Linked DNA regions of Drosophila melanogaster. The protein of the gene in region 1 interacts with the protein of each later gene in a pairwise test. Each region holds a gene or a part of one and is shown in the gene's direction. Other genes may lie near its edges. The genes, in order: indra, SC35, CG15167 and CG14545.

Region 1 (9,010 bases):
TAAATGTTTAATTAGTTTGAACTTTTGGTCTTATTACTGTCTTAGATAATTGAGTAACACGAAAACTATATTTTTTACGAATTTTGTACCAGAAAGAAGAGATCTTCCAGTAAGACACTATAGTAGTTGTCTTCTGGGGTCTGGAACGCTTAGGTAAATAGCGCAAATCTCACAAAATCCCCTGAATTACCGCCTGCAAATTGACTGATAAGTTGTCAGTAAAGCGACCGAATTTTAATACCACCTCAACCTTTGTTGTTATGGGTAGTTTCGATTGTACTAATCGCTCTTTTCGGAATTCCAGGAAATTTGTGAGACCTGCGACCGGGAGGCGAAGGAGAAGCAGTTCAGCACCTCGGAATCGGAACGCCACACGAACCGCGGCCTGAATCGCTATCGGGATGTGAATCCGTACGATCATTCCCGCATTGTTTTGAAGCGCGGCAGCGTAGACTACATCAATGCGAACCTGGTTCAGGTGGGTCACGTTTTTAATGCATACACACACCCCTAATTAAACGCCTAATGCGATCAATCAATCCTTTCTAGCTGGAGCGCGCCGAGCGCCAGTACATCCTGACCCAAGGACCGCTGGTGGACACAGTGGGCCACTTCTGGCTGATGGTATGGGAGCAGAAGTCCAGAGCAGTTCTCATGCTCAACAAGCTGATGGAGAAGAAACAGATCAAGTGCCACCTCTACTGGCCCAACGAGATGGGAGCCGACAAGGCCCTGAAACTGCCCCACGTCAAACTCACCGTGGAGCTCGTCCGTCTCGAGACCTACCAGAACTTTGTGCGGCGATGGTTCAAGTGAGTAGAACTCTTTATTCTTCTTCTGCTTCAAACCATTTGTACATGTGGACTAATTGCCTTTGACTATTTCTCTAGATTAACCGATCTCGAAACGCAGCAGAGTCGTGAAGTGATGCAGTTCCACTACACCACATGGCCGGACTTTGGCATTCCCAGCTCGCCGAACGCATTCCTTAAGTTCTTGCAGCAGGTTCGCGACTCCGGCTGCCTCAGCCGCGACGTGGGTCCAGCCGTAGTGCACTGCAGTGCCGGAATCGGGCGGTCGGGCACCTTCTGCCTGGTGGACTGTTGCCTGGTACTTATCGACAAGTACGGAGAGTGCAATGTGTCCAAGGTGCTCTGCGAGCTGCGCAGCTACCGCATGGGCCTCATACAGACCGCCGACCAGCTGGACTTCTCCTACCAGGCGATCATCGAGGGCATTAAAAAGCTGCACGATCCCGTATGTATGCGCGACCAGCGGTCGGCGTTTGGGAGTCAAACTTGGGGGCTGCCAAGCACCGCCGTATATATTGCACATCGCTATTTATTCTGGGGGGTCACAGAAATCTCTGGGCTTGGTTATGGTTACTAGAATTCATATTGTTTAATGGAATTATGATTACTTTTGAAAACTGTATTATGTTTAGTTTTGTTTTTTATTATGTGATCTAGTATCAGCTTAATGATTATTGTTTAATTGATGCGAAAAAGAAACCATTGTTTTTGGTTTGCAGAGATTTCTGTGAAGGCCCTGATTATTTTCCGCGACTAATTAGAACATTTGATTTCTCTTCAGACCTTTCTTGACGCTGAAGAACCCCTCATTAGCAACGACACAGAGACTCACACACTGGATGAGCTGCCGCCGCCATTGCCCCCACGCGTCCAATCGCTTAATCTGCCACTGGCCCCCAATTCCGGCGGTATACTTTCGCTCAATATGCGCGCGGCCCAGGCTAATGGAGCTGAAAGTATCGGCAAAGAGCTGAGCAAGGACGCCCTGAACAACTTCATTAATCAGCACGACATGATCCACGATGCCGAGGTGGCCGACAGTCGTCCCTTGCCGCCATTACCCGTAAGGGCTTTCAACGATTCGGACAGCGATGAGGATTACTTGCTGGATGACGATGACGAGGACGACACCGATGAGGATGAGGAGTACGAGACCATTAACGAGCACGATGCCGATCCAGTTAATGGACACGTGCCCGCGACAACACAGCCACATGCCGACGATGTTAATGCCAACAACGAGAAGCCAGCGGTGCCAGTCGACGAGCAGCACAAGGCGAACGGCATCGATCCAATTCCAGGCCAGCTCCCAGCCAGGTAAGAATCTAGTCTTAGATCTGCTCAGTATCTATTTTTCAACCGCCTAGTCAAACAAAAATCCCTCTAATCCCCTTCCAAATTCGTACTTTTCAGTCCCGAGAACGAGCTGAAGCGGCGAAAACGCAACGAATACCAGGCCAGCCTGGAGCAGAAGGTCAACGACATGAAGCGGAAGCAGCGGGAGAACGAGGACAAACAGCTGGCGGCAAAGAAACGAAGGTCATTACTCACATATATTGCCGCTGGTGTTGTGGTGGGCGTGATCTGCGCCTACGCATACACGAAGCTAGGTTAAGTGCCCCGTAGCCACTAAGTAGTCGTAGATCAGTAGTAGCAATAGCTGTATGACGTATTTAGTTGCCGTAGGAGACCGATTCCTCCCCTGATACCCGATTTCCGACTTCCGATCCCCACCTGCTCGTCCGCCTGACCCGGCATCTAATGCGGGCAACGAATCAAGGACGACGTGCAACGGATCGGAAAGGATCAGAGATCGGACGGAATCGCATCGCAACGCCATGCAATCGCACACGAATTGCGGATGGCGGATTGATTGAGCTGAACGAACGATACAAGATGCATAAATATTAGGGAATTTTTTATATACGAAATACAAGAAGGAAAACAAAAGAAACAAATGAAAGAAAAGAAGCAACTAAACTAAACTAACGAAAATCGGGTAGAAATCACGTCAAATGTAGATTTTGCGCAATAGACTGACATTTTAGATCAAATTTATTTTCTACACTCTAAAAATGGATTGATAACCGACCAGATGCCCCAAACGAGCCATACCAAATGCAAAGCTCACCCTACTTGCTCGCTATGCTTAAAATATTAAGAATATCATAACTACCAATGTTTCAAGCACCCGACAACCACCCACTACACGCTTCACTTGTTGTTGTACAGCAATTTCTTATAGCATACGACCTATGTATATTTATTTATGAAGATTATGAGAAACCACCACTTGTTGTAGTACATGGCAAAATATAAAGTGCAGCAATGTGCCAAAAAGAACCGAATCGGAGAATTGTACGAAGTGTCCTAAACGACTCTTAATTTTACTTTGCCTCCCGCCTACCACTACCACTAACTTTGAATTGTTGTGTTTAAAATTAAAGACCCTGTCCCCCCTTAAACGAGCACTTTATTAATGAATCGAAATTCAGCGCCATTAAAGCAATAACTTACGGTTAAACAAAACAGCTCGATGTACACCTATATCTCGTTTAACGCTTTTAAGGAGTGTTATAATCAAAATTGTTCATTTCGCACACTCGCCCCCGATCGATCTGAAATCAAAATAAAGTGATTCTTTTTTCAAATTGTGACCGTGGACTAGTTGCACGTGGCTAGTTGCAAATCAAATTAAACTAAAATCGGTTTACTAAGTCGCTAAGCGAAGTATAGGTGTATGATTTAATTATAATCCAGGTTTTGCCATAGCGAAACCATTTTGTATTAGAACGAGAGAACGAAGAAGGCGAAAGACTATTCAATGGTTTTTCCAGTAGAGTAAGTGTGCAGTCCCAATCCCAAGAAACATATTTATATAAACGTGTAGCGTGAGAGGACGCAAATATTTTTTATATGTGTAACCCACACTTTAACAAAATTCAAGTAACCACCCCCGAAAGCGAGGCACTATGAATCCATATGAAATCGGATGGGCCCAGGAGGATAACAAATAAAGGAAATACATATTTATATTAAGTATATTTAACAGAAACAACATGAACAATACCTAGTAATGCCTAGTTAACTAAACGTCGGCTAAGTACACCAACCGTACACTGAAACAAATCCAACACAACACAGTACTATACAATATTATGCCTATGAGAGAAAGAGAAAGGAGGAGCAGAGAAAGTATTCAAATAAAGCTATACGTTTAAGACATGAAAACTGCGAACCGCTTGATCCTGGCGCATTCCCTTGCCATGTCCTTGTCATTCATAACATTTTTCATCTCTTTGTTTGCAGGCGCGGGAACCGACTCAAAAAATCCAAGACAAAGTAACGGCACAGCCCATCCAGGTCAGCACCAACACAAAGAAACAAACTAAACATATCATTTTGCATTACTGTAGCTTCTAATGCCTAAATAAACTATTTTTAAATTGGAAACCAAGTTCAGAGTTATCGATTATATATCGACACGCAAAGCTGTTGCATAACGCGACGTGAGCATTAACAGAATGTTAATGTAACTTAGTGTGACCGGAATGCGCAATATACTGCTTTGGTAATATTTTTTAAAGTTGCTACTGCCATTATAGGTAGTTTAAAAACTGTTTTCTACACTCTTTCTAAATTTGATGCAAAAATTATTAAGATTAAGATTCGTTCTGCGAACGTTCTGCAGTTGCTTCTTTTAACGTGCAACCATAATATATAAGCACACTATGTGGTATATTTTGGTGACTCGGTCTGGCAGCACTGCAGTTGATTAACATAGATAGCAGTGTTTGGTAACTGTAGCCCCGCAAAAAAAAAAACGTGCGCACGTTGTTTGATTTCTGTTTTTGTTTTTGCTGGAAAACTTAGTGAAAATATGACCAAGGTGCAAAAAGAGGTGCGATGCGACCATTGCGGCACAAGCCAAGGGTCCAAGAGTGTTTTTTCAGGTCAGAAGGTGTTCCTGGGCAGGAAAATAACAGACGTACTGGAGACCATCACCCACAGAAGCGTGAGTTGGAAATGGCGGCATTCTGATTTCCCTTCTCGTCATCTAAATCATCCCATCCCATTTCAGATCCCATCATCCTTGCCCATCAAGATATGCTTCGTCTGCACCTCCACATTCATGTCCAGCGCGGCACTAATCGAGAAGGTCCGCGAGACGGTGGACAGGGTACAGGAGCAGCCCGCCAAGAAGACTAAGGTAGCGGAAATAGAGGAGCCATCGACACAGGAAAGCGATAAGAAGGCGGTTAAGGTGCCAAAAAAGAACACCACCCTCCGTCAGCGCAGCAAGTCCATAGCAGCTTTCCCGCCAAGCTTTGTGAATGGAGCTAATACTAATACAGAAATCGAGATCATTAGTGCTTCGCCCAAGAAACTCGATAAGACCCCTAAAAAGCAGATATCTCGACTCTTCGAGGATAATCTTAACGATTCGGTTAAGCTGACGCCCGCCAAAGAGGTGTCGTCTACTAAAAAGGCTTTCCTTAATCTCTTTGGCAACGGCGGCAACGATGCCATCGAAGTACTGACCGAGAGCGAGGAAGAGGAGGACTCGGATAAAGGTCCTATCACCATTAACACAAATAACTTTCAGTGTCCAGAGTGCGAATTTCACGCAAAGTTTCCCAAACCGTACAAGGAGCATCTGCAGAAGGAGCACGGTCTTCAAAGACCACGCATATACCCCTGTACCTTGTGTATTAAGACTTTTGGAGTGCTTAAGACTTTGAAAAATCATTTAAGGGACACTCACTCACGCACTTTTGAAAGCGAGGCTAAGACTAAGGCGAAGGAAAGCAAGGAAAAAGAGGCTAAGTCAGGGGCCAAGAATAAAATTGACGCAAAGGCAAAGGAGACCAATGCTGTGAGTCAAAGGAAGAAGCCAAAAGAAAAAAAGTCCAAAGAGAAAAAGACAGAGATCAAATGTAATGTTGAAACCAAAGTGGTTGACGAAATCGACGACCAAGTGAACAACAAAAAGGGCACAGATAGTGAGGACGCAGACCAGACCCAGGCTACCAAAATCGCCTCCTTTAAAGCGCTAAATGAGTCATTAATGAAGAAAAGGATGTTAGAGAACGTGATCGACTCGGAATATACATTTGCCATCAATGGATCCAGCGCCTCCACTCCCAGGGCGGATTCGAATAATTTTCAGTGCGAGATCTGCGACTGTGAGCTGATGACCGCCAAGCAGATGCAGGAGCACATGAAGACCGTCCACAGCATCGACAAGCCAAAGGTTTTCAAGTGCCACGTCTGCGAGAAGAGTTTGGCTACCAAACAGTCGCTGAAAACGCACATGACTCTACATGCCGACGGTGCTGAAGCGCCGAACTCCAGCAAGCGAAAGATTCTGCAGGACGAGGATGAGGACGTAGACATTCTGGGTACGACTCAGATTGAAAACACGGCCGAGAAGGTTGAAGGACCTAAGAAATCACAACAAAGCCCTACTAAAGCCGCAAAGTTCACCAACCGAAAGATTCTGCAAGAAGAGGATGAGGTTGTGGAAATTGTGGACGCTTTTAAGACTGACAACACCGCGGAGGATGATGAAGGACCCGCAGAAGAAAAGATTATACGATCCAGGAACAACATTCAGCACCAGGTCGATGGAGGCATGATTGCACCTCGGTCGCCAGCTAAAAAGACAAAGAAGACCAGTCACGTAGATCTGTCTGTGTCCACAACCAATGGCAATTCGCCTGCAAAGTCAGAAAAACGAAAAAAACAAGACAAATCTGAGGACACGCTCCCCTCATCTGATGTAGACATAGTGGAAGAAATCAACTACAACGTGCGGCCGCACAAAAAGGCTCGCCTGGAGTCCATTGGTGACTCAACAGCCGACGAGTCGACCCTCAGCTGCGACCGGTGCGGGAAGTTCGTCAAATCGCGTCAACGCTTGGACTCGCACATGGAGAAAAAGCACGCCGCCAAACTACAGTGCACCCTATGCAAGGAAGTCTACCAGAACCAAATGGATTACGTGGCTCACTTCTCGAACTGTGGTTCCGAAGGTGGACTTCCATGCGGCGTAGCCAATTGCAAGAAGGTCTTCACGGAGGCCAACTTCCTATCCTCGCACCTGCGCAAGCGCCACTAGTTGCACTAGACTCCCTTTTATTTTTGTTTTTCATTTCATTCTCTTGACCAATGTAGTTTTACGTTAGCTTATTGCTATGTTAAGTATAATTCTTTGAATTTTCAATGGCTAACTTTGAAAGGGTCTATATAAAGTTGATAAAAGTCGATGAAAACTGCAATTTATAACAAGGTTACTTCATACATTTTTAACTATTATTAAGTTCAATTCAAAAGATAAGTTTAATTTGTATATTAAGACTTTATTATAACCGCATTGGTTACACCACTTGTACTCACCAAGAGTATATAAATTAGCTTGAATGTAATAAACATATTTGTACTGAGCGATGAACTGTTAATAAAAAATGGCAAAAAGCTACGAAATTGCTTGTTTCAATCAGTGGAGAGAAAAAATGACACAATATGAGTTCACTTATACATTTATTTGTCATATTCCCGAAACAAAAACAAAACTAAAATAACGTTTACGCGGAAACCAACCATTAACGATGCATTCGCCGGGGAGAGCAGAAGGATTGAATACAATACCGATGTTAAATCAGGGGAAGCATGAGTTCTCCACGGGAGTTCAACAACGAGGCGGAAATGAAAAACATTTTGTCTAGTTACACTTTTCTACTTAATGTAAACGATGATATTGATGACGGGCTCAAGACGACGCCACTTTGCCGTGAATCTCTGCCTGGGCCACCTTCATCACGTCGAGGGCGCCGCGCTTGATCAGGTCCTCCGCCAGCGTCTTGCCCAGCTGGTTGGCCTTCTCGTAGATGCCCCGACTGTGACAGGCGTGCTGGTAGAGACCGCAGAACAGGTTTTCCACATCCTCAATGAGCACCGAGTGCTGCGGCGTCGGCTGCTCCTCGTCGGCGTAGTCGAACATTTGGACCGTTTTCTGCAGGAACGGGCACTTGGCTGTGGCTGCGTTTCCGTTGTCCTTAGCCGGCGCCTCAAGACCGCTGCCCTGATGCATGGCCGCAAAGGGACACTTGGAGGAAGTTGCAACATTATCCACTTCATCGCCAGCGCTGCTGGCATTACTGGCTCTGCTGCTCGGTGGCGTGGGCAAAATAGAAGCTGATGCTCCTGCCACACCGCCAGTCACTGGACACTTTCCAGCTTGGGCAAAGGATACCTTCACATCGTTGTTAACGTACGGACATTCGCCCATGAAGTCCTGTCCCACGGGCATCTGTAGTGGACAGTGAGCAGTGGTGGCCGATTCCCCTCCACTTCCACTCTTGGCGCTGAAGGAATCCCCAGAGTCTGCATGCGCTACTGGACATTTGGCAGGAACCATTGCCTGATTGTGCGGCACTGGGCACTGGCCCATCACTTCCTGACCGCCCACCAAGCGAAGAGGGCACTGACGGGGAGTGGTGTTCACATTGTTGGTATCCGCATCGCCACCACCACTAACTCCGGTAGGTCCCACAGCATTGTTGTTACTCAGCACTGGGCAGTGACTGGCCAGATCCGAGAGCTGATCCACAGTGTAACCGGAGAGAGCTGCGCAAGCAGCCGCATCCTCACAGATCACTGGAGGGCTGCCTTGCTGGCGCGGACTGCTGGAATTCGAGTCCGAACCCGAACTGTCGTTGCCATTTCTGGCACGCTTCGTGGCCGGGGGAGAATCGCAGCTGCTGCTGGTCTCCTCCTGCAACTGGCTGGTGGCCTCCTGGGCCCCTCGTTTCCGTTGGTCCCCCTCCAATTTTTGTTCATTTAAGGCACATGCCAGATGGTTCCGTATCTCTATTGCACCATCCAGGCTCCAAACTGCACCGGTGAGGGATAGTCCCACCTCCTGGCTGTTTCCATTCAAGGGCTCGCCCTTTAAGTTGCTCCAAACAGCCACGGGGGCGGAGCAACCCCCTCCCAAAGTCTTCAGGAAGCTTCGTTCTGCTAGGATGCGGCACGTTGTATTCAGGCACATAAGTTTCTGCAGCATTGCCAGCACTTGGTCGTCATTAGCCCGACACTCCACGGCCAGGGCTCCTTGGCCAACAGCATAGAGCAAGTCGGTCGGCTCCAGCACCTGGCTAATACGACTCATCCAGCCCATTCTCACCAAGCCGGCC
Region 2 (9,195 bases), on another chromosome or scaffold:
TAAAAACCGAATAAAGCAATGAATTTTTTTTATTTTTGGAATTGTCCACATCATCGTAATAGTTTAAAGAAACTTTAGTGATGGGAGTAAAATTCACTTTAACTTTCTCTATTTCACAATATCGAAACCTTTGTATTTTGAGCGACATTTAGTAAATGCAAACATGTCTCTTTTTATGCACAAAAATAAAAATGCAAATGTCATGCCTTTTATTTTTGCACATGAAACAACTGTGTAAATAGTTTCTTTTTAATTTAGGTCGGTTTGTTAGAAACTTATAGCACTTCAGATGATTTAAACTCAGGGAAGTTGAGCTATCACTTCACCAATTATATACTTCGTACTACCACTCATGCACTCGCCGTGTTTGACCTGGCGGCCACATGCTAATTGCTAATCGCTGACTCTAGCCACCCGGGCGGATGAGTCATGTGCGGGATTGGATTGGTGGAGTGCTGTTCTGTGCTGGTGTCAACGTGCTTGGTTAATAGTAGTTCCCGAACCTTTGACGTAAATGTCGGAGGATCATTTGACCGTCTGGAGATGGGCTGTAACGAATGGTATCCCAACTCCACGATTACTAACTTTTTCTCCACTGCGAAAACGAGTAAATGTAGCGAGATCCGGCGCCCTTACTCATGATTCCGATGCATACAACTCAATTCTAATCGGATTTCGGAACTAGGAGCGGATGTAGATATAGCCGGAGAAACGAGCTTCGATCGCGCCAAAGTGTAAGAGCCAACAGCAAATGCTATTTTTTTTCGGCGCTTTGGCAAGCGCGCCGCACAGCCAAACGCCATGTAATCAAGTTCGAAGCGGTTTCAACCGCCGGCGAGCTGCACTAAGCGCTTCCATTCGGGCCAAGCAACTACAAAAGTCGCCACATTGGAGTCGCTGCGATAACGACGAGTGAGCCATTCCCATTCCCATGCCCATTCCATTCCAGTCCACACCGCCAGTCGAAGCTGGGCGCAGCGTAGGCTCCAATGAATGGCTGACAAAAGAGTAAACGTGTCCAAAACACAAGAATTGGGGGGCAAGCATTTGCGAGTGTGGGTGCGGAAGAAGGGGACAAGGCAATGGCCAAATAAACGACACCACAAAGCGAAGCGGCAGTAAAATGGCAGCACAAACAGCTGCTTGTCAACGTCGCCCGGCGAATGGCAAGTAGGTGAGTGGCCACCAGAGATGCGCCGTGATTGTTAACAGTTTAACAAGTGACAGTGATAAGTCGTTACATCGAGAAATCAACAAAGCTAAACAAGAAAGTGTTTTCTAACTATGAAATTTTCAGAATATTAAAATTATGAACAAGTTTATAGAATTGAAAAATACACAAGGCTAGAATATTTATATTAGCATATTCGTGTAAAATTTTCATGGCTTAACTCTTAAATATCCCAATTCTTGAAACTCAAAATACTGAACGACGATTAAGAATATAAGAATACTATTCGGACGAAAGTTTTCACAAATCCCAAATCCCAAGATCACAGCGAGGCGTGGATTGTTTGATGTTCATGTACATATAGATTCAACAAGTATTTTTAAATGTATGTACCTACATTTGTTTAAAGCAAAAATGTCAAAGTGCATGATTAATTCCCAACCATTAGCTGGTTTCTAGAAAACAACTAGACCTGATTTGCGGTTATTTCACCATTTGGTGACACCTCTGTAGTGATTCTGGTCGTGATTCCTGGGCATCTCTGCGCTGAGCCACTGCTGGCGACACGACGACGAGAAAAGCGGCCAAAGAAAGGGCCCTGGCCGGACGAACTGTTTTTGCGCGCAGGCCGAAAGCGATTAGCCATTTGTTTAGCGGCACAATAATGCCCGCAATTCGAATAGAAGTCAAGCAACACATGCGACGCCGACGTCGGCAGTGCTGACGCAGATTGAGGTTATGTACTAGGGCCAGCGATAATAACCTAAACGGAACCTGGTGAATGCAACCTATCTTTGGGGTTTTCCCTATCCCATTCCCCATTGTTGTGTCTCTGCCAACGGTCTTGCGACCAGCAGGTAGCAACAATAACACGCTTCTTTGTTGACGTCACAGAAGAAGCGAGTTCAATGGACGTGGGGCATGTGTATTTGGCAGGGGGTATTTAGGTAGCTAGCAAGCTCTATTTACCATTGTTTGCGATTTTGTCCGAGGGGTTGAGACCATCGATGGGCGTTGGATCCGCCGCCGCTGCTCCTGCTGAAGGCGTGGTGGCTGGCGAACCCGGCGCTGGCGATGCGGAATTGGAGGATGATGTGGGCGGCTGTGCTGAGGGTGCTGCTGCCCCCGCCCCCTGTGCAGTTGGAGGCGGTGGAGCTGCTCCCGCTGTGGATCCCCCGCTGCCGACGGAATCGGGTGTGGTGGCTGGCGTGGCTGAACCGGAGGCGGGACCCGGATCCGCCGTCTCCTCGGCCGCAGCCGCTGCAACCACTACTGCCGCCGCCTCCTCAGCTACATTCACAACGCTGTTGTAACTGAAACTGGGCACAAATTCTACCGCGTTCACGTTCAGCGTTGAGAACTTTGTGCTGATCTCCGTGTTTTCCTGGGCGGCCATCGTTGCAGTGCGTCCGTAATCCTCCGCAGTGGTTTCCTCCGATGAAAATCTCTCTCTCGCTTTTTTCACGCGACGACACACTTTCGCCCTCCTTCTACAAACTGCTTCAGCTGCTTCTTCTTGCTGCTCCCGCACTCACACAGAACACACGCGGTCGTTCGGAATTCTTGGGATTGCCTATGGTAATGGAAATTGGGAATGGCAAAAGCAATGCCACCAACACACGCACGCCTTGATGGTTGTTGGCCGGGGGGGTGGCTTGTGGGGGGTTTAGGCCAGACTTTCGGCTCAATGTGGTCTACACTTTTGTTGTGACTCGGTGTTGTGTTTGTTGTTTGTGCTTTGCTAGCCTGGCCAACTCGGGTTGAACTCGAATTCCCTTTAATTTGATCGACTATCGCCTGTTTGGGGCAGTGGTGACCACCTGGTGATCTGCAGGTATGATTCGACTACCTGAACACTAAATGCAGTGCTCGGAACTAGCAATCTTCTATTATTTTACACGTTTTAAGCCACGCATCAAGTCAGGGTTGCCACTTGTATGCGGTGTTATCGGTGCATCGATATGTGCTGGCTGTCACAGTGGCCTATAATTGATTTGGGGCAAAGTATTAAGATATTTTTAAATTTTTTTAGTAAGATTTTTAATACTTTTAAAATTATTCAACATAAATAATTATATTGCTTTTGTACTTTGTTCTGATTAATATAATTTTTTAAGGCTAAATATAACGTAGTCCACATGTACATATATAAATACAAACTGTATTTGTTTTATGTGTGACTAGACATTAATAATTTTTTATTCACTTTCAGTGAGTTTTTATAATTATTAATTTAGTTATTTTGTATAATAGAAGTGTAATGCGAGTTTTGTAAATATTGATAAGTGTGTAGTGAGCCTTGGGGTTTCAATACATTTCTAAGCTCATCATCAATGGTATCGAATTACAATCGATGTTGTTCCAGCTCTAACGTCGTGCCAGACGCCATTTTAACAGTAGTGAAAAAATCGTCTGGAGTTTGGCTCGTTTTCAGCATTCGCATTAGCATTTTAGCGGTAAAACAAATATCCAAATAGACAATGAGCAACGGTGGTGGTGCCGGGGGATTGGGCGCAGCGCGTCCACCTCCACGGATCGATGGAATGGTCTCGCTTAAGGCAAGTATCTGCTAAGTAAAATGCGACTAAATCGCCCACAAAATGGCGGCCGGCTGGCAACGTTGTGTGGTTAGGTAACCTCTCCAAAAGCATGTAAATTAATCCGCGTGTAATTATGCCTACAGGTCGACAATCTCACATATCGCACCACGCCGGAGGATCTGCGTCGGGTCTTCGAGCGGTGCGGCGAGGTGGGGGACATCTACATACCCAGGGATCGCTACACACGTGAGAGCCGCGGATTCGCATTTGTTCGGTAAGCATTCACTTCTCTTCCGGGAAAATTGTGAAAGTCTTAGGTCTTTTTTGTTTTGTTACTTTCACTTGCCGGCGGTGGATTTTAATTATCATGGGACCTAAAATGTATCCATACATACTAGGAGTAAAATATATGTATTTCCCGAAAGTATACTGCGAAAATCATGCTATACAATCACTCGTCATATCCGCTTTCACTATCTACTTTATAATGTTTCATTGAAAACTAGCACATTGAGGAAAAATGTTATGTATTCCCTGAATTAATCAGGGTATGCAAGCAAATTACAAAAGTCTCAGAGTAATCATTTAAATATCATTTGAATATAGCTGCTATAATAAGTACGCCCCTTGTCTAAACTCAAATATTCCTCTCATTTCATTAGAACTATTTGCATTATTTGCTATCATCGATTGTGTATCAGTTGCTAATCTGTACACTTTCAGTAGCAAAATGGTGCCAGAACAAATGTGTTCACTTGCAACCGTTGCCTACTCAACATTTACTAGCCAACGTACAGAGAATACTACATCTAAATAATAAGTTCTAAAGTTATAGTTTCATAACATATGGCTTCAATGATACATTAAGTTGATACAAGGTCACTTATTCTATTTATTTGTTGTATCTACCTGCATTATTTGCCCCTTTTGAATGTGTAACAGCTTTCAGTCTGTACATCTTCTTTAGCAAAAGGATGCTAGATTGAATGTGTACACTTGCAACAGTTGCCTACCAAACCCCTGCTAGCCAACTTACCGTAAGCCCTACAATTAAATATAGACTTAAATATAAATAAACGTATGTGCAAAGTACACACGAATCTAGTTGATCATGTCCTTAATTTTTTAGCTTCTATGACAAACGTGATGCCGAGGACGCACTGGAGGCCATGGATGGTCGCATGCTAGACGGCAGGGAGCTCCGCGTACAGATGGCCCGCTACGGACGCCCCTCTTCGCCCACTCGCAGCTCCAGTGGTCGTCGTGGCGGAGGAGGAGGCGGTGGTTCCGGCGGGCGTCGTCGGTCACGTTCTCGCTCCCCAATGCGCCGTCGTTCGCGCAGTCCGCGTCGCCGATCATACTCCCGTTCCCGCTCGCCTGGTAGCCACTCGCCGGAACGCCGATCCAAATTTTCACGCAGTCCAGTACGCGGCGACAGCCGCAATGGAATCGGAAGCGGATCTGGAGGACTGGCCCCAGCCGCGTCTCGTAGTCGCAGTCGCTCCTAGATATCGACGTCACGTTCCATTTAGTGGGAGTGCGAGGTGAGTTCATATCGTGTAACGCTTCAGAAAAAGCTTTATATAAGGTTAAACATACCTTACGTTAAATAGGGATTATTTTAAAACTAGTTGTTCTTTGCTTTCAGATATGACTCGCTGACTAGGGCCAATGCTGTATCCTGTTCCGGATCTATGGCTCCATCTGTGTCATGCTGTACCCGAACAGCAGGTATAGAAACCATTATACAATCTTACACTTAACACAACTATTTATAGCGAACTATTTTAAGTTTCGGCAGAGTAAATAAGTAGAGATCAGGCATGATTATGTTCCGAGTGAGATCCCCGCAACCTGGGCGATCCCTCGATGTCGGTTCTTGCACATAGGCTTTCATATACTAGAGCGTAGTAGAAATCCTTGAACGTAATCAGAAACAGAACAAAATAAACTCAAATTAACACGGCTTCAATTCAATACCTAAATATCAAATGACAGACAGGACAGGAGGAGAATGAGAGGTGGATGAGTGATAGGAATACTCTAGGATTCTGTTTGTTTCGTTGCGATTCGATTCGATTGCGTTTGTGTTGCTCGTTTCCGTTCTTTGTACCTTTTAACGACAAACTTATTAACAAGCTTCTCCCACACGTTTATTATATATATGCAGGCGAATGGTGTGTGGCAGTTGTTGCGGTTCAGATAAGATTGTGGTTAAATCGCTCGCGATTAAGGATCAGCAGCAGCGCATCATCTAAGCTACAACTCCTTCCTCACGTAGGCGGACACCGCGTGGCTCCTGATTGTTGCTACTGCTGCTGCTGCTGCAGATGCTGATGCTGATGCTGCTGCTGTCGCATGATGCTGTTGCTGGTGCCGCTGATGCTGCAGTTGCAGTTGCCGTAGCCGTAGCAGCTTCCTGTTTCCTGTTAGACGCTGGCGCTGCCAAAGCTGCTCCAGATTCACTCATAGTTTCCCGTTTCCCGTCACTTCTTCTCTCGCCTCGTCTCGTCTCGTCTCAACTCGCGATTTGTTGCTGGTTGGCGTTGTTGGTGTTTTCCTGTATCTTGGTGGGCGTCCCTTTTGAGTTTAGGCGAAAAGTCATCATTTGCAGCAGAGGCCACATCGACGATGCGATGGATGCTAGAGTCTGGATTGCATACTGACTCGACCGAAATGTGGGATTCCCTAACGATCTGGTACATTCGGTAAGTGAGAGAGCTAACCCTTTGAATTTGCAGCCTAATTAAACGCTTCAATAAAGTTTTACTTGATTATAACTTAACCATCTACATATGTTATTAATTGGTTGAAATGGGGTTTTAAAACATATATGTATCTTGGAATATTGTAAAGAAAGATCTAGTATCTTCGGATGCCCAGAACATCCATCCATTATGTTTCGGTTTCTATTGACTCCCGAGAAACATGGTAGTCGGGGGGTATATTGACAAAGCAGTTGCCGGGAAACCGAAGGCAAAATCACATATACCCAAGTCCTTCTGAATACGATTCAGAAACCCTTTTACACTTTCATCTAAATTATATTGGTTTCTCCTGCAAAGATGATTCAGTACGATACTGTGCAGATCAAGAATGTATCATGGTAAGCTTTAGTTATGCCCGACTTGGCTCAAGATGACTATTGTGTGCTCTCAGGCAGCCGGAACTGCATACGGAGGGCACCTATGTGTGCTCTTTTCCAGAGCCCCCGCTGCCGGAGGCCCATCTGAAACCGGGCACCTGGCATGGCCATCTGGAGCCGTATCAGCGGCTCTTCTATCATCAAACGATGAACTCGGTGCGCTCGAGCAAGCGGTACCGTGCCAATCCGAACATCCCGAAGGATACGCTGGACTTTTCGCTGCAGTCGCGCTACGATCACACCCGCGAAGCATTTCCGGACAAGGTGGACTACGTGATGCAGAGGGAGACGTGCCGCGCCATAAGTAGCTGGTCAGCTCCTGGGGCGGCCAAGGAAATTGGTTCCCAACTCAAATCATTTCGGGTGTTGCGCAACACGCGCTTCATTCGGCGCAAGCAGGAGGACGTATTGGGTCATCCACTTCGCATAGGTAAGATCACAAAATTGGTACAAACCTAAAGTTCTCGACGCATTTTAAGTAACACCCACTTCGAATCTAATCATATTGTTGCAGGCGGTTGTAAAGAAAAGATTCATCCGCACAGCGTAAAGCTCATTTGCAGCGGTGTCCACAACCAGCTGGTGAACAATGGATTCTCGCGCCAGACCTCCGACGGCAACTTCTTCCGCTATTAGTTCCACAAATCTGTGTTTGCTTTCCCAGAAAGAATACCATTTTGCGTTTTGGGTTTTACAAACATTATTGGAAATAAATTTGGGACACAGAAGCAGTCGTCACGCAGTCGCCTCCAGCTTGGGCTGCTTGGGCAGGTGCTCCACATCTCCATCATACTCATCCACTGCTTGTGGAGTGTCCTGTTGGTCATCCTCCGCCTGTTGCTCCGACGCTTTGTGACGCTGTTTCTTGTTCTGGTTACGATAGCTCTTGGGTAGTTTGTTGTCACCAATCCTGAAATTGGATGGGAATTTAGTATGCGAAAGTGGGTGGCTCGATTACTTAGCTTACATAATAGTGGCTCTGGTTCCAGGTCCCCAATGTGGAGTCGGATTCTCTTGGAAGCGCGATAATGCCGATTTGCGACTCTTCGGGTTCGCCTCCGGATGGAGTTCATCGAACTCGTAGACAGCAGTGCATTCTTTCGAAAGTATGGCCGCCAGTGGAGATCCAGGAATCATCCTTTCGGGATTTACCGGATGTCGCTTGCTCCAGCTGCGCAGAATGTCCCATAGCACCGCTGGTGGAGCATTGGTTTTCAACGAATTCTTCGAGGCATGCGAGTATGAGACTCGATAGCCAGCGTGGAGAATAGCAGACCGGAACTTTAGCATGGGCACGATTTCTAGCTTGAGCACACAGCACAGTTTGTCCGGCGTGTAGTAAAGGGGAACATCCTGCAGCTCCTCTTGGACCATGGAAAGAACTCCAACGATTCGTCTCTGGGTTCCCAGCGATTGCAAGGTGGTCTCCTGGACCGCCGTTAAAAGATCCTGCACAAATTCGGGGTTATGAATCGGTGCCGACCAGATGGGTCCACCCAGATGATGCCTGTGACCGCAATGTTCGCACTGCGAGTTGACCGCCGGACCAGTGGGAATTCCGAACTTCAGCTGCTGGGGATTACCAGCCGTGGGATTTGGCTTGGTTATGCCCAAGGGCTGCAGCGTGAAGGTCTCACATCCGGTGCATTGGTATATCCAAGACTGCTTGCTCATCGACAGCTTGCATTGGGCCTGGCCGACGTACACACGCACAAATATCCGGATGTAAAAGTCCGCTGATATGCTCAGTAGTGGTTCGATGTACTTGCCGTACCTGTTCGCGTGGCTCTCGATGCAGTGCAGCAAAATGCGCAATGCCATCTCGTGACAGCACTTCATCCGCAGCGGAACCGATCCGTATTTTACATAGCAAGCTTCCGGAGCATTTCCGGCCAGCACGGCCATGTCGGTGGCTGTCACCAGCAGCAGGCCGCCGTCCACCAGGCACTGCATAGCGCCATCCAAAAAGCGATTGGGACATCCGTACGGATCCAAGTCAACTGCATCAAAACGCTTCTCGGGTTGCGTCGAAAGATACATGAGGGTCCTGTACGATGTATTGGAATGCCCCATTTTATACCGTGTGCCAATAGCTTAATTATAAACCTACATTGCATCGGAGTGACTGGGCTCGATCAGCTCCTCCACCTTGTTGTGCCGGATGTTTGTGTTGATCGAGGCCACTGCCTGGCGGGAAAGATCGTTGGCCACGATCTGGCGTACACCGGCGATTTCCTGCGCGTAACGGATGCTACGCAAACCGGTGGCTGCCAGTGCCTCCAGGATCCGAAGTCCATCCTCATATCGAGTACCGGCCTCATAAACAGGTGGATCCTCGG
Region 3 (6,398 bases), on another chromosome or scaffold:
GTAACTGAAATTGATAGTATTATTTTTCGGTGCATGGAGTCGGCTTTATACGCGCTGGTGGCCACCATCGTTGTCGGTTCCACATTGCACCACTGGGTTTTTAAAGCGAAGAGTGTGCCCCAGCTGAAAAGATTCAGTTGAGTGGCTATCTGCCAGGAATGTGGAATGGCGGCAAAGAGACGAGCCGTAACGAACATGGCTATCTTTACGGCACCCAGCACTTTTAACTTTAATGGAAAGTCAAAGAAAACCTCCTAATGCAATGTTGGTTGTTAGCTTAGGACACAAAAGTTTTTAAGACAATCCTGAAGAGCCTTAAGTACTTAATTTTAAGGATTTCCATATTTTGAAATATTTTTAAAGCAGACCAGAACATCCCTAAGATACAATTTGGAATTCATGGAATTTTAATGAAGTTCATATGTTTCGGCATCCTCTTTATATCAGAACTGTTAAAGACAACATTTGAAGTACGTAAACTGGCTGGAAATAAAAATCCGATTTTTGCACCAGACACCTTAGATCTATTTTACGTCATACTTACTATTTATTCTTTTTTATTTTTAATTCCACAAATAGATCAACTTTTTTCTGACGAACCCACACCTAGCACGTATTATTCTATTCTTCTTGCTCGACACGAGCTATCTGTTTCTGCAGAACTGTGGCACTCTTTATGTACACAAAAATAGTGGGCATACACACACACACTGACGTAGTCGGGCATTCTACAATTGGCTCATTTGAGAATCGCTTGTTGCGTATCCAGAGCCAGAGACCTTCCCCTGTTTCCCAGATACAGATACATTCGGGCCACAGATACGGATACAGCGGCGAACGGCGGTCGTTGTTTGTCGTCGTGTTGTCGTCGTTCGTTTCTAATTATACGATAGGAGCGCTATGAGCCATGAAACGTGCGAGGTCTGACCTTCTCGCAGAGCCTGCTGCCTTCGTGTATATTGCACCAGTACATATTATAGTATATTGTATATTGTATCTCGACCTGGGCATGGGCATGGGCCTGCATCTGTATCTGTATCTCTGGGCCTACGAATGCATCTGGCCGCCTTATACTCGCAGGCGATTATTAAATTTTTAACGTTTGGCCGGCAAAAGGCTTCTGTGGTAGCAGCTGTTATTAACTTGGGCTCTTGCCTCTTACATATTTAATTATTTGGGCGGGCCAGGTCTTTGAATTCTTGGGCGGGCCGGGACACTTGGCCTAATGCTTTCGGCCACAGCCCAGCCCAATGGCCAACCTATTGGCCTTAATATCTGCTGTCGATCTGTCCATCTCTCGTAGTTGTGACTTGTTTAATTGTTAACGATTAACTGCCGTTAGGTGCTCGATTATAAAGATATATTATGAATAAACTCCTTCTTTGGTTAGCCAATAAATACATTATGGGTTTATAATTATCATGTAATTTATAAAACCTAAAGATATTATTTTTTATTATAGCCAATTAATTTTCATGTTTCTAATACATTGCCGCTTGGATGTTTTTACAACTTTCTGACGTGCCTACAAATCAAAAACATTTTGGAAGCTGATTTTTTTTTTCTTTTTTACACCTTTTTACATCTTGTGGTCCCATACGATTCCACAACTCACCTCTGACGATCCACTGTTCAATTGCTTTCCCAACGATCCATCTTTACCCATGTCACCGATTTGCCGATCCCCCACAACCGTCCACTGGAAGATTAACCAAAGCGAGGAGCGCGACAAAAAAAGAAATAGAAATCTGATATATTTGTCTAACATCTTCGGCATTAAGCTCACCCCCAGCTCAAAAACGCGAGATTTCCGCATTAGAAACGATTTTTTAATTATTATTTTCAGACGCCTACACGCAAAACCGAAACCCGATGGCTTCGAGTGGATGCTCTGCTCAAATGTCAGGCTTATTAATACAACAGCACCAACAGATCTCTTCAAGCTTCAAGTGCTGGGGATTTGTGGCCGGGGTACGAGATGCGAGATGTGAGATCCGAGATCGAGTTGAGGACGCTGTGCATCTTTATGTGGGAGTGCGGGCTCCATTGATGACACGTCATTTGCTGGCATAGACATCTTCGTCAAATGTGTTAAGTTGCGCTAAGAGGGAAAATGAAAACAGGTCTTCCAGTTCAACGGCAAGAGTGTCAGTAAAATGTCATGGAAAGCCACTTAGCTGGGAGTTTTTGATTTTCGATTTTTTTTCTGTACATTTTCTGAATCGGATTCGCAGCGTCCCCACATCCGCTTTTGGAGGAAAATAAATGCACGTGAAACAAGCAATCCGAAAAGGTAGCTAGCTATCAAACATTTGTCAATTTTCCTGCCCGGAGGTTGGTATTTGGTATTTGGTTTTTGGTGCGATTGGTTCTAGCTCGCGGGCAATGCTCAATTACGGTTTTGATTTAAATCAGTCTACTGACCCCAAAAGTTCAGCTACGGAAATTGCAAATTTAATAATTGACTGGCTCAGAAAACTGTAAAACCCAAACCAGGGGGCTTATTAATGCGATAACCTTGGCTGATTTAATTTCTGCCGTCTATTCGCCGGGCCTGTGATTATCCAGCGAACAAGAAAACCAAACCAAGCCAAAACAAAAACAAAAACAAAAAAAAAATACAAACAGCGACTTCCATAACAACAAAAGGAAAATCAAAACTTGCACAATTTCGACACTAAACGGCGATGTCTGGGCCACTCTTCGAGTGCCTCCGAGCTGCCAGTTAGTCGCATATTTAATTAAGAGATTGAGTGCCGCAAATAGTGTTGAACAATGGCCAGCACGAGTCGCATCCACACTGCGAGAAATCACTGCGACTAAAGAGAATCGGGAATTGTGCTGGCATAGTCTTAGCTATATATTGTCCATTAACAATTGACGAAATATTTTAAGTTAAAGAAGTCGGAATATTTTGCGAACAAGGCTTTAGTTGCCTCGGTTTCCTCTTCCGGTTCCGGTTTTTGATTCTTGAACCTCAGAAAGCAGTCCTCGTATATATCTCCCAGAAACTTGGCGCCCTTAGGAACTCTATCCTTAATATTAAATTTCTCTTTGTTCGGATTGAAGCATAACTCGTAGGCTGAAAAAGTGACTCGTTGGTTAAAGGGTTCTGGAATGCAAAACCTCAGAAGGTAGGGCTTTATCCGGTTTAAATCTTTCCGCTTGCCATCCATCACTCCAAATGCTTGTTTGCCCCCGTGGGTGAATACTATGTATCCGGTTATATGGTTTTTGTGGCAATATTGAAGAATTCGACGCGGAAATTGGTTCCTTGACATTATGTTGTACAACTTAAACTCGGTCCTAAGTTGAATATCCTCATTGAACATCCAATCGTAGGACCCTAATAATGTCATTTCTTGTTTAGTTTTGCTGAAAGATATGCAAATAACTTAGGGCTATAATTTTGGATTGTACTGAGTGTTAAGCTAAATTTACTGGCGTGTAGGTTTGTTTTTAAACTAAATTGATTAAACTGATGACTTACGCAAAGCATAATTATTAATTGACATTTTGTTTTAAAATACGTTTCCTGATAGTTTATAAAAATACTTTTTACGAAAATCTATATAAATATAAAAGTATAGCATTTTTAAAGATTCAGAATTTGTTTTAAATGCTTACCTTTGGATGGATCAGTGATGTTTACTCCACGCAAATTTTTCGATTATATATCATCAGCAGAGTAACTTAGGAAATCTGGATCATTTATTTTCAAAAGCCGTGAAAACTCACATACTCAAATTTCCATTCCCAAAAATGTCGCTGGAACTGGTACTCCAACCGCAGCCAGAGATCTACCTATTAGCGTATGAAATGAGTGTGCCCGAAGATTCCGATGAGGCCCTGCTTTCAGTTGTGGCCCACAAAGCCGCAGAACTTAAGGTGTGTGGCTACATCGCGCATACGCACTGTGGCCGCAAAGTGGGCGGCGAACTGGAGGGCAGCTCTGCTGGCCTGCAGATGATGGTCGAGTGGATGCAGGCTAGGAGCCAGGGGAATCATCTCGGGGACGGGGAGAAGATCAAAAGCCAGATGAAGGAGCCACGATTCTCGAAGTGGAAGCTGCAATCAGGGGCCCCCAAATACGATGTTTTCTTCTGTTGCTGAGTGCTGACGAGAGGAGTTGATTAAAAATCGCAAATTGCATTGGCCCCAGAATATTGTTTCGAGTGCATTTTCATCTCATAAACCATAACAATCAGTGTCGGCCGCTGCTGCTGCTGCTGCTGCTGCTGTTGCTGATGTTGCCGCTGCTGCAGTTGGGCCATTGAACAATAGCCCGGCTGACTCGAAGCTGACTTTTCAAAGTCAAAAACGCGATTGTATCATCAGTATTTTTCGGGGCGCGCTCCCTGCCTCTGCCTTTGCCTCTGCCCCTGATTTTTCGTTTTTTTTTTGTCTAACCATTTTCAGATTTTTCCGCTCGGCGCTGGCAGATAAAGTAGAGGAGCCCGAGTTGCGGCGAAAAACAATCGAATCAATTCATTTTTCTAGGGCGTACTGTGCCACTTGAACGTTGAACTGCAGACGCCCCAATGCTGACTACCGCTGAGGTTTCGCTTTTGGGCTTTCCATCTCCTCCGGAGTTGCCATTGTCTGCTATCAAGACGGCAGCACGGTCTTGATCGTGCCCCGGCACTAGTCATTTTAATTTTTCAAGATTTTCCGAGCTCGGCGCTGCGCGCTGTGCTGTGCTTCTGCGCATTTCGCAATCTGAACTCTATAAATCTCTCGTGCCGGTGTGTTAGATTTATGGGTTATGGGCCAAATGGGAGCGGGCCAAGCCAAATGTTCTACGGACGGCACAGAAATCGGCGATCCGGGCGATTCAATTAGATCTAAACGCTGTCAACATCCCGGCACTAATAAGCAGCAACATTTCGGGCGAGGGGTGGCCACAGCCCGAAAAAAGTGTAAATAAAACCAAGAGTGTCGTCTGGCCTGTGTCTGTGGCATAATGTTGCATAATATTTTATGCATGCAGAGCTGGCAGATTGCAACATGTTGCCATGTTGCAGCTCCAACTTCGACGCCGGCCCCGGCCGATGATGATGATGATGATGCATAGCCCCAAGAATCGCTGAGACAGCCAAGCGCGCTGTGGCGCCCCTCCCTGAATCTCAATCTGAATCTGAGTCTGGAAATCCTGCAAACCTTCGCGACTTCCAGCTGTGTGTGCCCGGGCTCAAAGTGTGTCGAATATTCAAGTGAAAATTCCGCCCCAGCCCCCAAAGACCCGCTGCGATGCATCGCGGAGTCCTCCAGAGTGCGGCGCTTCGATGACGTTGAGCTGGGATTTGAATTTCGGATTCGACCATGTGTTGGTTGGTGTCTCTCTGCCCATGCAGGCATGCCCATACATCGACACGGAGAGAAATCATAATCTGCACAATCATGATGTATTTAATTGTATATTAGAAACTTTAAAAACTGTAAATATTATAATACTTATTCTGTTCGATAATATCATTTAAATTTAAATGGTGCAATGCTTGTTGATCATTAGAAGTATGTAATTTTGTTGGCAAATAATAGGTAAAATTGATAGGTACGAAATACAAATATGTTATATATATTGAAAGAAACACAATAGTTGGTGACTAATTAATGTAGTTATTAATGCGTGTTATTTTTTTTTACTGCACATGCATCTGCCGGTTATGGGATGTATCTACATATCGTATGGTATCGTATCGTATCCATAGGTGGGTAGCTCAGAGTCTCAAGCGATGGCGTTATTCCCTGGGTCTTGGTCTGGTATTTGATTAGACGGCAAAAGGTGACGGCGGCAAACTTGATCGCCGTGTTGTTGTTGTTTCTGGTTTTGTTGTTTCGCTGTTGGCTGATGTTGTTGCTCTGGCTCTTTAAGTCGAACAATTACATTTTAAGCGTAGCACAACCTTGGATACCGTTATATTTTTGCAGTTGGTTGGGCGTGTGTTCAGCGAGTTACCCAACAAACATTTGCAGCAGAACTATTTGTGTGGGTTTTTTTTTAAGTATTTAAAATCAATAAAAGTGAGCTCTTTTAATTTACGATTTAATTTATATATGTAATGGAGAATTATATGAAATATATAATGTTTTTCTTTGATATTCAGTAAAATCGTAAAGTAATGTATTTTATTATTGTTCTTCTCTTCTAGAGTACGAACAAACTTAACTACCTATCATATAAATCATCTCAATTAATCCCAATTTTTAGCTCAATAATGCCCGAGCGCTTGTAAACCATATTCAAATTACTCCTCTTCAGCCTCATTTCGGCCAACTAAGGCTGCCATTTCGCCCTATAAAATCATTCCAAAAAAGGGAGCCCGACCAAGAAACTACTCCCGCAAAATGTTGATTTGGTTATGGGCCGCCGACACCGCACCGCTGGGCCAAACACG
Region 4 (6,685 bases), on another chromosome or scaffold:
ATGCTCGTCTGTTGGACATTTGCACTGTTTTTTTTATACCAACGAACGGACGCGTAGGGTTTACAGCCAAATGACAAGTGCTTAGTGTTTTGCATATGCGTGTGTGCGTACACTGAGAAAAATTTAGTTTTATTTTTTTGATCTTTTATTCGTATATAATTCTCATAAATAACTCGAAATTATTTTATTTCACATATCTTACAAACTAAATGTATATTATTAAAAAATAAACACATTTCTATTAAGTTGATGAAAAATTTTTCAGTGCTGGATTTAGCGGCTTGATACCCCCATTCTCATTATTCAAGCTGGAAAATGGGCAGCTCGGGGATGGGGACAAGTGTTTGAAGCACTTGGCGCACGCTTGAGCGGCTTTCAAATTTAGCGTATTAACTCATTAAATGTTCAAAAGCTCATTGCCTGCGAAATGTGCACACATTTCTGTGAATGCGAGCGAGGGTGTGAAATATGCACAAGTATGACACTTTGGCACCGAGGGGAAGACAGTTTTAATACCGCTTAATGGGCAATCGGGCGGAAGAAGCTTGAAATAAATAGAATTCCCTATACTCCTAACAATATCAAAATTTTTAATTAAATTTCTAATGACCATGGAAGAACGCTCGGGGACCTAACAATATAGGGTACAGTACATAAAACATGCTGTGAAAAAAGGGGTAAAAACAGTTGTTGCCTTGAGAGCTGGCATAATTAGTCCTTCTTTCGTATGCACCTCTTTATGCAATTTAAATTAATTTGTGTAATTATTTTAGTGACTTAACTGGCCTTATTTCAACACCCTCGCCCGCACCGAGTGACCGCTGGCAGCAGTTGGCGTTACGCATACGCCACGTTGCATGCGTCTTAAATATTTGATGGCGGAAATCTGGGGCCCGGCAAAAATGACAGCTGCGTGTTGAAAATAATTAAGGCGCAATTATAATGACCCTGGCCACGAACCGCAGGCACTCACCACTCATCACCACCGTTGAAGCCACCCCCATCCGTTCGCCTGTTGGCATTGCAATGTGTTGCATGCAACACTAGACTTTGTGGCGTCGCCAACAATGACGAAAGCAATCCATGGCCATCGAGCTTGTGCGCTCTGGCAGTTTCCCATTCCACTCCACTTATGCAAATTGATGCGAAATGTGGGCTAAGATTTATGCTTAAATCTTTTGGAAGGACATTCTGCAAATATTTACCCAAAGAAATAATTTTAATATTCTTATTCTGTTTGCAGGAAACACGTTTTACTCAATTTGTTGTTGAACAGCAATACACGATCACCGACGACATCCTTTAAATAAATACAATATACAAAGTACAATAAATAACTAGTACAAAATTCGGACCATGTAGGTTTGTAATTGATGACGTTTTTCAGTTGAGACATGGATGACACAAAATGCTTTGCAGGGAAGGCTTGGTGGCCGCCCGAGATTTGGAGATGGGACTATAGGCGAACAGTCAGTAGTTTAGTTGGCATTGGCATCGATTAGGGGAGGCACTTCGGATATATCAACAAGTGACTTTGCGGTGATAGCGTCGCCATCACCTACGAGCTCCTGGGTGTCTGTCGCAATGTCAACGGTCTGCTCCTTTTCGTTCTTAACGTTTGAGGCATCACCCGCTGCCTCTAGCTCGGCCTTTGACTCCGTTGCGGCTGATTCCTGAACGCCGTTCGCCTCACCGTTCGTTGTGGATGCTGCAGCTTCCGCCGCCGCTGCAGCTGCTGCCTTTGCCTTGGACTTTTTCTCCTTCTTGCGTATATTCTTCTTGGCATTGTTCGCCTGACGCTGCTCCTCGGCCTTCTTCTTTTCCTCAATGGAAGTCTTCGATTCATTCGTCGTTAGCAGCTTCATTTGGTTCTGCAGATTTGCCAATGTTTGCTTCAGTTCCGCACAATTGCGAGACATCATTTCCATTTTAACATTTTCAGCACTAACTGGCTTGACGTTTACTGGCTCTGGTTCAGGAGGCAACTGCGGCAGGGCGGGTATTTCGATCTCGTGATCCCGCAGGCACTTGTGCAGTGTTGTCCTCTCCAGCTGTAGAGCACGCAGTAGCTTCTGCAGCTGCTGTATTTGCTTCTGCAGGCGCTCTGAGTGCTGCGTCTGCAGACTCTTTTCTGTGGCTAAATCGATCACCATGGCATTAGCTTTCTCGTACTTTTGCCGCCAGCCCAGCGCCTCCTTCTCGATCTTCTTAGTGTGCTTGGACATCTTCTCAAGCTCCACCTTGTAGCTGCCGAAAACCTCATTGGACTTCTGCAGCGACTGCTGGAAGTCATCGTACTTGGCGGTGTATATGTTCAGTTGCTCCTTCAGTTGGTGCTCCCGATCGGTGAGATCCTTTATGGCACGTTGCGCTTGCATCAGTTTCTCCAGGCCAATCTGGTTTTCCCTGAAAGAAATGTGGAGTTTAGATATTTTTCGTGTGGATTAAGCTTTGACTAAATCATATCAAGTGAAGAGCAAACCGAGTAATATGAATTATATGCTAGCCACTCAGCTGTCCTCAATCAAAACCAGTAATCTCAGCGAGTTTGTTAAATAAAAACTTGTTTTCTAATGTGTGACCATCTATGGTCCGTTTATCGCGAGATGCAGAGAAGCGCCGGATGACCCGGCATGTTGTGCACATACTTGCTCAATATCTCCTTTTCCATGGCAGCCTCCACCTGGCATTTTTGCAGCTTGGCCTGGTGCAGCTGGGCCTCCAACTGAACCTGTTCATTGAGCTTCTCCAGGTGCTGCTCCCTCGTTTGGTACTGCTCGGCCAGCAGCTTTAACCTAAAACGGGAGACCAGATGGTTAGGGAAAATCGGAAAACAGAGAACGTGCGTGTGCAGTGGCTATATTTAGAACGCGGATCCCCGCAGCGTTGCGGCGATGCTTACTTCTTGGTCATCTCGATGTTGTAATCGCGCAGCTTGATGTTCTCCTCGTTGTTCTTGGCCAGCGACTTTTGGACATCGTTCAGGGAGCTTTGGAACTTTGTCTGGCTCTCCTTGCGCCGCTCCTCCTCCACTTTGATTTGCAGCAGGCTCTCGTTCTTTACGGACTTTATGATGCGCTGCTGTTCGCGGCACACCTCCTGCAGCTTGTCTCGCATCAGGACGCTCTTGTTAAGATCCCGCTGAACCTGCTCCTTCTCCCTCTGCTGCGACTCCATTTGGCGCTGCAGGACACGCAGTTCCGCCGTCAGCCGGCTTACATTCTTTTCGCTGTCCACATGGCGTTGCAGCAGAAGTTTCACCTTCTCCTCGGCGGAGGGGCATTCGTCAAGGGATTTCATGACCTAAAATAGATATAATTCCGCCTTAAATTTTGTCTATTTATTCCCGTTTCCATGGATTCTGGCAGTCTATGGAAATAGGGTTTGGTTCTGGCTTTTGGCCATCACGCGCTCTTACCAACTCCTCCAACTTCTGGTCGCGCTGCTTCTCCTCGCGCGCCACTTTTTTCGCCTTGCTTAGCTTCTCCATGGTCTATTCAAAAATCGGTGCTATATTTAACTTGTATTCTATTCCTCTTTCGAATTTTGACTATATTTGTTGTTGTTGCTTTGCTTATATTTATAAAACAGTGAGACAGTTTCGTTTTCCGGCAAATACACTGAAAAGCGGTGAGAAGTAATGTTACGTTTTTATTTCGCATCCAACTGGTCACACTGAATTTACGATGCTGCCGGAGCGTCAGCCGGCTTCTTTTTCCACAAAACCTTTTAAAGTGGCAAAAACTTATAGGAGTCCAAAAATATTTGATAGTGTGTCAAACCAAAAAAATGGTTTTACACATGCTTGTTGGCGCCGAAAAACATTTGAATTATAGTCTTGCGTGCAACAGCCCACTGTTATGAGTTAACAGCACCATGTTTCAGGGTACCGAAATCTACCGCCAGGTGCTGCAAATTGCGGATTGCAAGTGCAGCCCTCGCTTTACAGTTATTCCCGCCACCACAAGATCAATTGGAAATTTCACAATTTGCCAAATTTATTACCAAATTGGTCGTTTTAAACACGTAACATGTCGGAAAGAGAAGAAGAATCGATTGCATACTTGATGGAAAATGGCATTTTCCCTCGACTTCTGGAGATTTTAAAGCAAATGGTGGATATCGATCCGTTGCCATCGGACCCTCTGATGCACATTTTGCATTTTCTGGGCTGTCCGCTAATTCCGCAGGTTAGAGTTGAAATTTTAACAATATTTTAAATAAAATCGTATATGCTTGCATCCATTTTGTATGTGCAGGCCCAAATGAAGGCCCTGGAGCGGAAAGTGTCGCGTGCCCATGATGAGCTGCGCCATTTGCGCCGTTTGATCATCGATTTGGATGCCTTGGATCAGCTTTACGATGGCGAAAACGAAGTGGAGGAGTATGTGGGCAATGTGGAGGAAGCCGTCTCATCATCGAGCGAAGATTCCATGGTGGAGAGCATTGAGACTACGATGGACTCCACGAAACCGGAGCTTGGGCTATGTACACCGATGTCATCGCTCAAGGATTCAAATCCTTCAAATCCATAGATCGCACAGTATCGAATCACATTTGTCGTTGAGCCTTTATTATGTACTGGATACATATCTTTGGCAACTGCATGTGAGTTTTGGATGCATATTTCTATTACATTTTGTTTATTCGACGCAATGTGAGATGTAACCTCGACTTTTTATCAAGTGAACGTATAACATTGTATTGTGTACATGCCATACTTATCCATTAAAAATTGTTGACCAGCATGATGTATGGAAAATGTTTTGTTCCTTTTCATATTAAAAATACTCAATGGATTTCTCTTAAAACTAAACAAATGATGTCTTATAATACAAACACATAACTATCGAATACCTTATTATCTTATTATTATCAAGTATAATTTAAATTTTTAAAAGAACTTGTTAAAATTGAATCAGTTCGATGAGGTTGATCTTCTTTATCATCTCCCCATGTGCACAGTTGATTAAAACAAGGCTCCTGTTTTGACCCATTTCGAGTTGAGTGCCATTAAACCTCTCAACCTGTGGGAAATCAATAACTAATATATGCTACATGGTTTGCCGGCAATATCTAGGGCCAAATAAAACAACATTTCAATTAAGTTCAACATGGTGAGGTGTGTAGCTGCTGTTTGGCAGCAAAACGGGGAAATTTAATTTGCGACTGACGTCATAGATTATAAAATAAAGGTTGCAATTTAATTTAAGGTTCAGGGGATTAGTTTGTTCATAATTATTGGCTTGCGAAAAGCTGCTAATTAGGTCGGGCCTTTAGTAAAATGCAGTGAATTAATACATATTTGGATTTGTGCTCAAATGCATTTCAAATAACGCGATGTAATATAAAATAAATTAGTTGACGCACGTTAGTGTTTAATTATTTAAGTTTGGCGCTTTTGCCTAGTTGAATATTCTCGTATTCCTTTAAAACAATTCTTTTGCAAAAGTATAACATAAATGTAAATAATACTTTAAGTAATACAGTTTAAATTTCCATGGAAACTTAAATCATACATACATACATCATGTATAAAATATGTTAAAGGTTATTCATATGTGAAAAGCACTTTTCACATGAATTTAAACATTTTTACGACAAAGCCAATAATACTTTCGTTTTTATGCTGCACTCTTGCATATTTAATGCACCTTTTCTTGCGTTAAATTTAACACGTGTGGAGCAGCCTGTAGAAGCAGGCAGCTCAATGATTTACACCGTATATTTGTCACAGTGCGATAAATCCATCTAATCCCCCGACATATGCATGTCCGGCTTGACAAATAAACTGCAGCAGGGCTTACATAAATATTACTCCCAAAAAAGAAAACATATTTTGCCACATAAAATAAACATGAACTTTTCTGAGGCGGGGCGGAGCGGAAACGGGGCGTGGCCGAGCAGCAGCTGCTTTTAATTGCTTTTGCTGGTTTTTCGAACGTTTTTGCAACTTTTTAGTTGACATTGAATAATCGCTGCGGAAATTGTCGCTTAACGGCAAATTGTGGTAAAAGCAGAGTGGACTCAGCTTGATAATTGATTGGAGCTCTTTAAAATTGTTTGTTTGACCGCTGCTGCAGGGCATTTCCCTGTTTTTTTTTTTATCTCCTCTCCGCCGTTTAATCTGTCCACGCGTGCCGACTGCAAAGTGGCCAACGGCCTGCTCTTCTTGTTTTTTTTTTTTTTGGCCAAATCTGCATGTCAGTTGGTTGGGAACGTACAACTTTGGCCACGTAAAATACGAGACCCCTCGTGCTCTCAGCCACAGGCCAAACCCATGCAAAACAAACAGGAGACGGAATCAAATGAAGTGCAGTATGCCAAGTTGGCTTCAAAGGACTGCAGGCGATCATTGAAAAATCGCGAGAGGGACTACACGAATTTCGCAAAATCCTTAATAGCTTATATAAAGCTAAAAATTGTTTTACGTTTATATGGCAACTGTAATTAATTGAAAAGAAATTTTAAGCAGACTTTTTTAAAAATTTGCTTTTTTAGGCACAGCTGGGAATGTAAATAATGTTTTTTTTTTGTTTATTTTATAGTAAATGCAATATTTATTCCCCTCCAGGGTGCCTAAAGGCCATTATAATCTTGCAATAAAAAAGCTTTGCATGTCATCAGGAATTTAATTTAACTTTCCACGTTTATCAGAAATTAATGGTTCACTACAATTTGTAAA

What was found.
Region 2: the proteins of indra (region 1) and SC35 interact in a two-hybrid assay, tested with the Drosophila melanogaster proteins (one large-scale study listed by BioGRID).
Region 3: the proteins of indra (region 1) and CG15167 interact in a two-hybrid assay, tested with the Drosophila melanogaster proteins (one large-scale study listed by BioGRID).
Region 4: the proteins of indra (region 1) and CG14545 interact in a two-hybrid assay, tested with the Drosophila melanogaster proteins (one large-scale study listed by BioGRID).

The regions. Positions count from the first base shown.
Region 1 is NT_037436.4:1,337,745-1,346,754, reverse strand, and holds indra (indra), read left to right. Parts: upstream 1-4,351; 5' UTR 4,352-4,363; coding exon 4,364-4,383; exon of another isoform or gene 4,384-4,685; coding exon 4,686-4,827; intron 4,828-4,893; coding exon 4,894-6,933; 3' UTR 6,934-7,295; downstream 7,296-9,010. Other genes in the region: Ptp61F (protein tyrosine phosphatase 61F), read left to right, coding at 305-478, 550-812, 891-1,257, 1,594-2,129, 2,226-2,427; Hmbs (hydroxymethylbilane synthase), read right to left, coding at 7,585-9,010. UniProt on the Drosophila melanogaster protein: Required for rDNA copy number maintenance and non-random sister chromatid segregation (NRSS) following unequal sister chromatid exchange. Binds ribosomal DNA (rDNA) preferentially binding to intergenic spacers (IGS) regions on both X and Y chromosomes.
Region 2 is NT_033779.5:12,428,369-12,437,563, reverse strand, and holds SC35 (SR family splicing factor SC35), read left to right. Parts: upstream 1-3,525; 5' UTR 3,526-3,651; coding exon 3,652-3,729; intron 3,730-3,854; coding exon 3,855-3,985; intron 3,986-4,383; exon of another isoform or gene 4,384-4,539; intron 4,540-4,613; exon of another isoform or gene 4,614-4,766; intron 4,767-4,840; coding exon 4,841-5,219; 3' UTR 5,220-5,255; intron 5,256-5,359; 3' UTR 5,360-6,489; downstream 6,490-9,195. Other genes in the region: eRF3 (eukaryotic translation release factor 3), read right to left, coding at 2,141-2,567; CG5435 (uncharacterized protein), read left to right, coding at 6,777-6,817, 6,871-7,286, 7,371-7,492; Trm1 (tRNA methyltransferase 1), read right to left, coding at 7,592-7,766, 7,824-8,903, 8,967-9,195.
Region 3 is NT_033779.5:18,736,648-18,743,045, forward strand, and holds CG15167 (uncharacterized protein), read left to right. Parts: upstream 1-3,710; 5' UTR 3,711-3,762; coding exon 3,763-4,113; 3' UTR 4,114-4,160; downstream 4,161-6,398. Other genes in the region: CG42752 (uncharacterized protein), read right to left, coding at 2,871-3,359.
Region 4 is NT_033777.3:25,848,538-25,855,222, reverse strand, and holds CG14545 (uncharacterized protein), read left to right. Parts: upstream 1-3,931; 5' UTR 3,932-4,031; coding exon 4,032-4,190; intron 4,191-4,259; coding exon 4,260-4,535; 3' UTR 4,536-4,813; downstream 4,814-6,685. Other genes in the region: CG5886 (uncharacterized protein), read right to left, coding at 1,479-2,406, 2,649-2,795, 2,903-3,303, 3,419-3,490.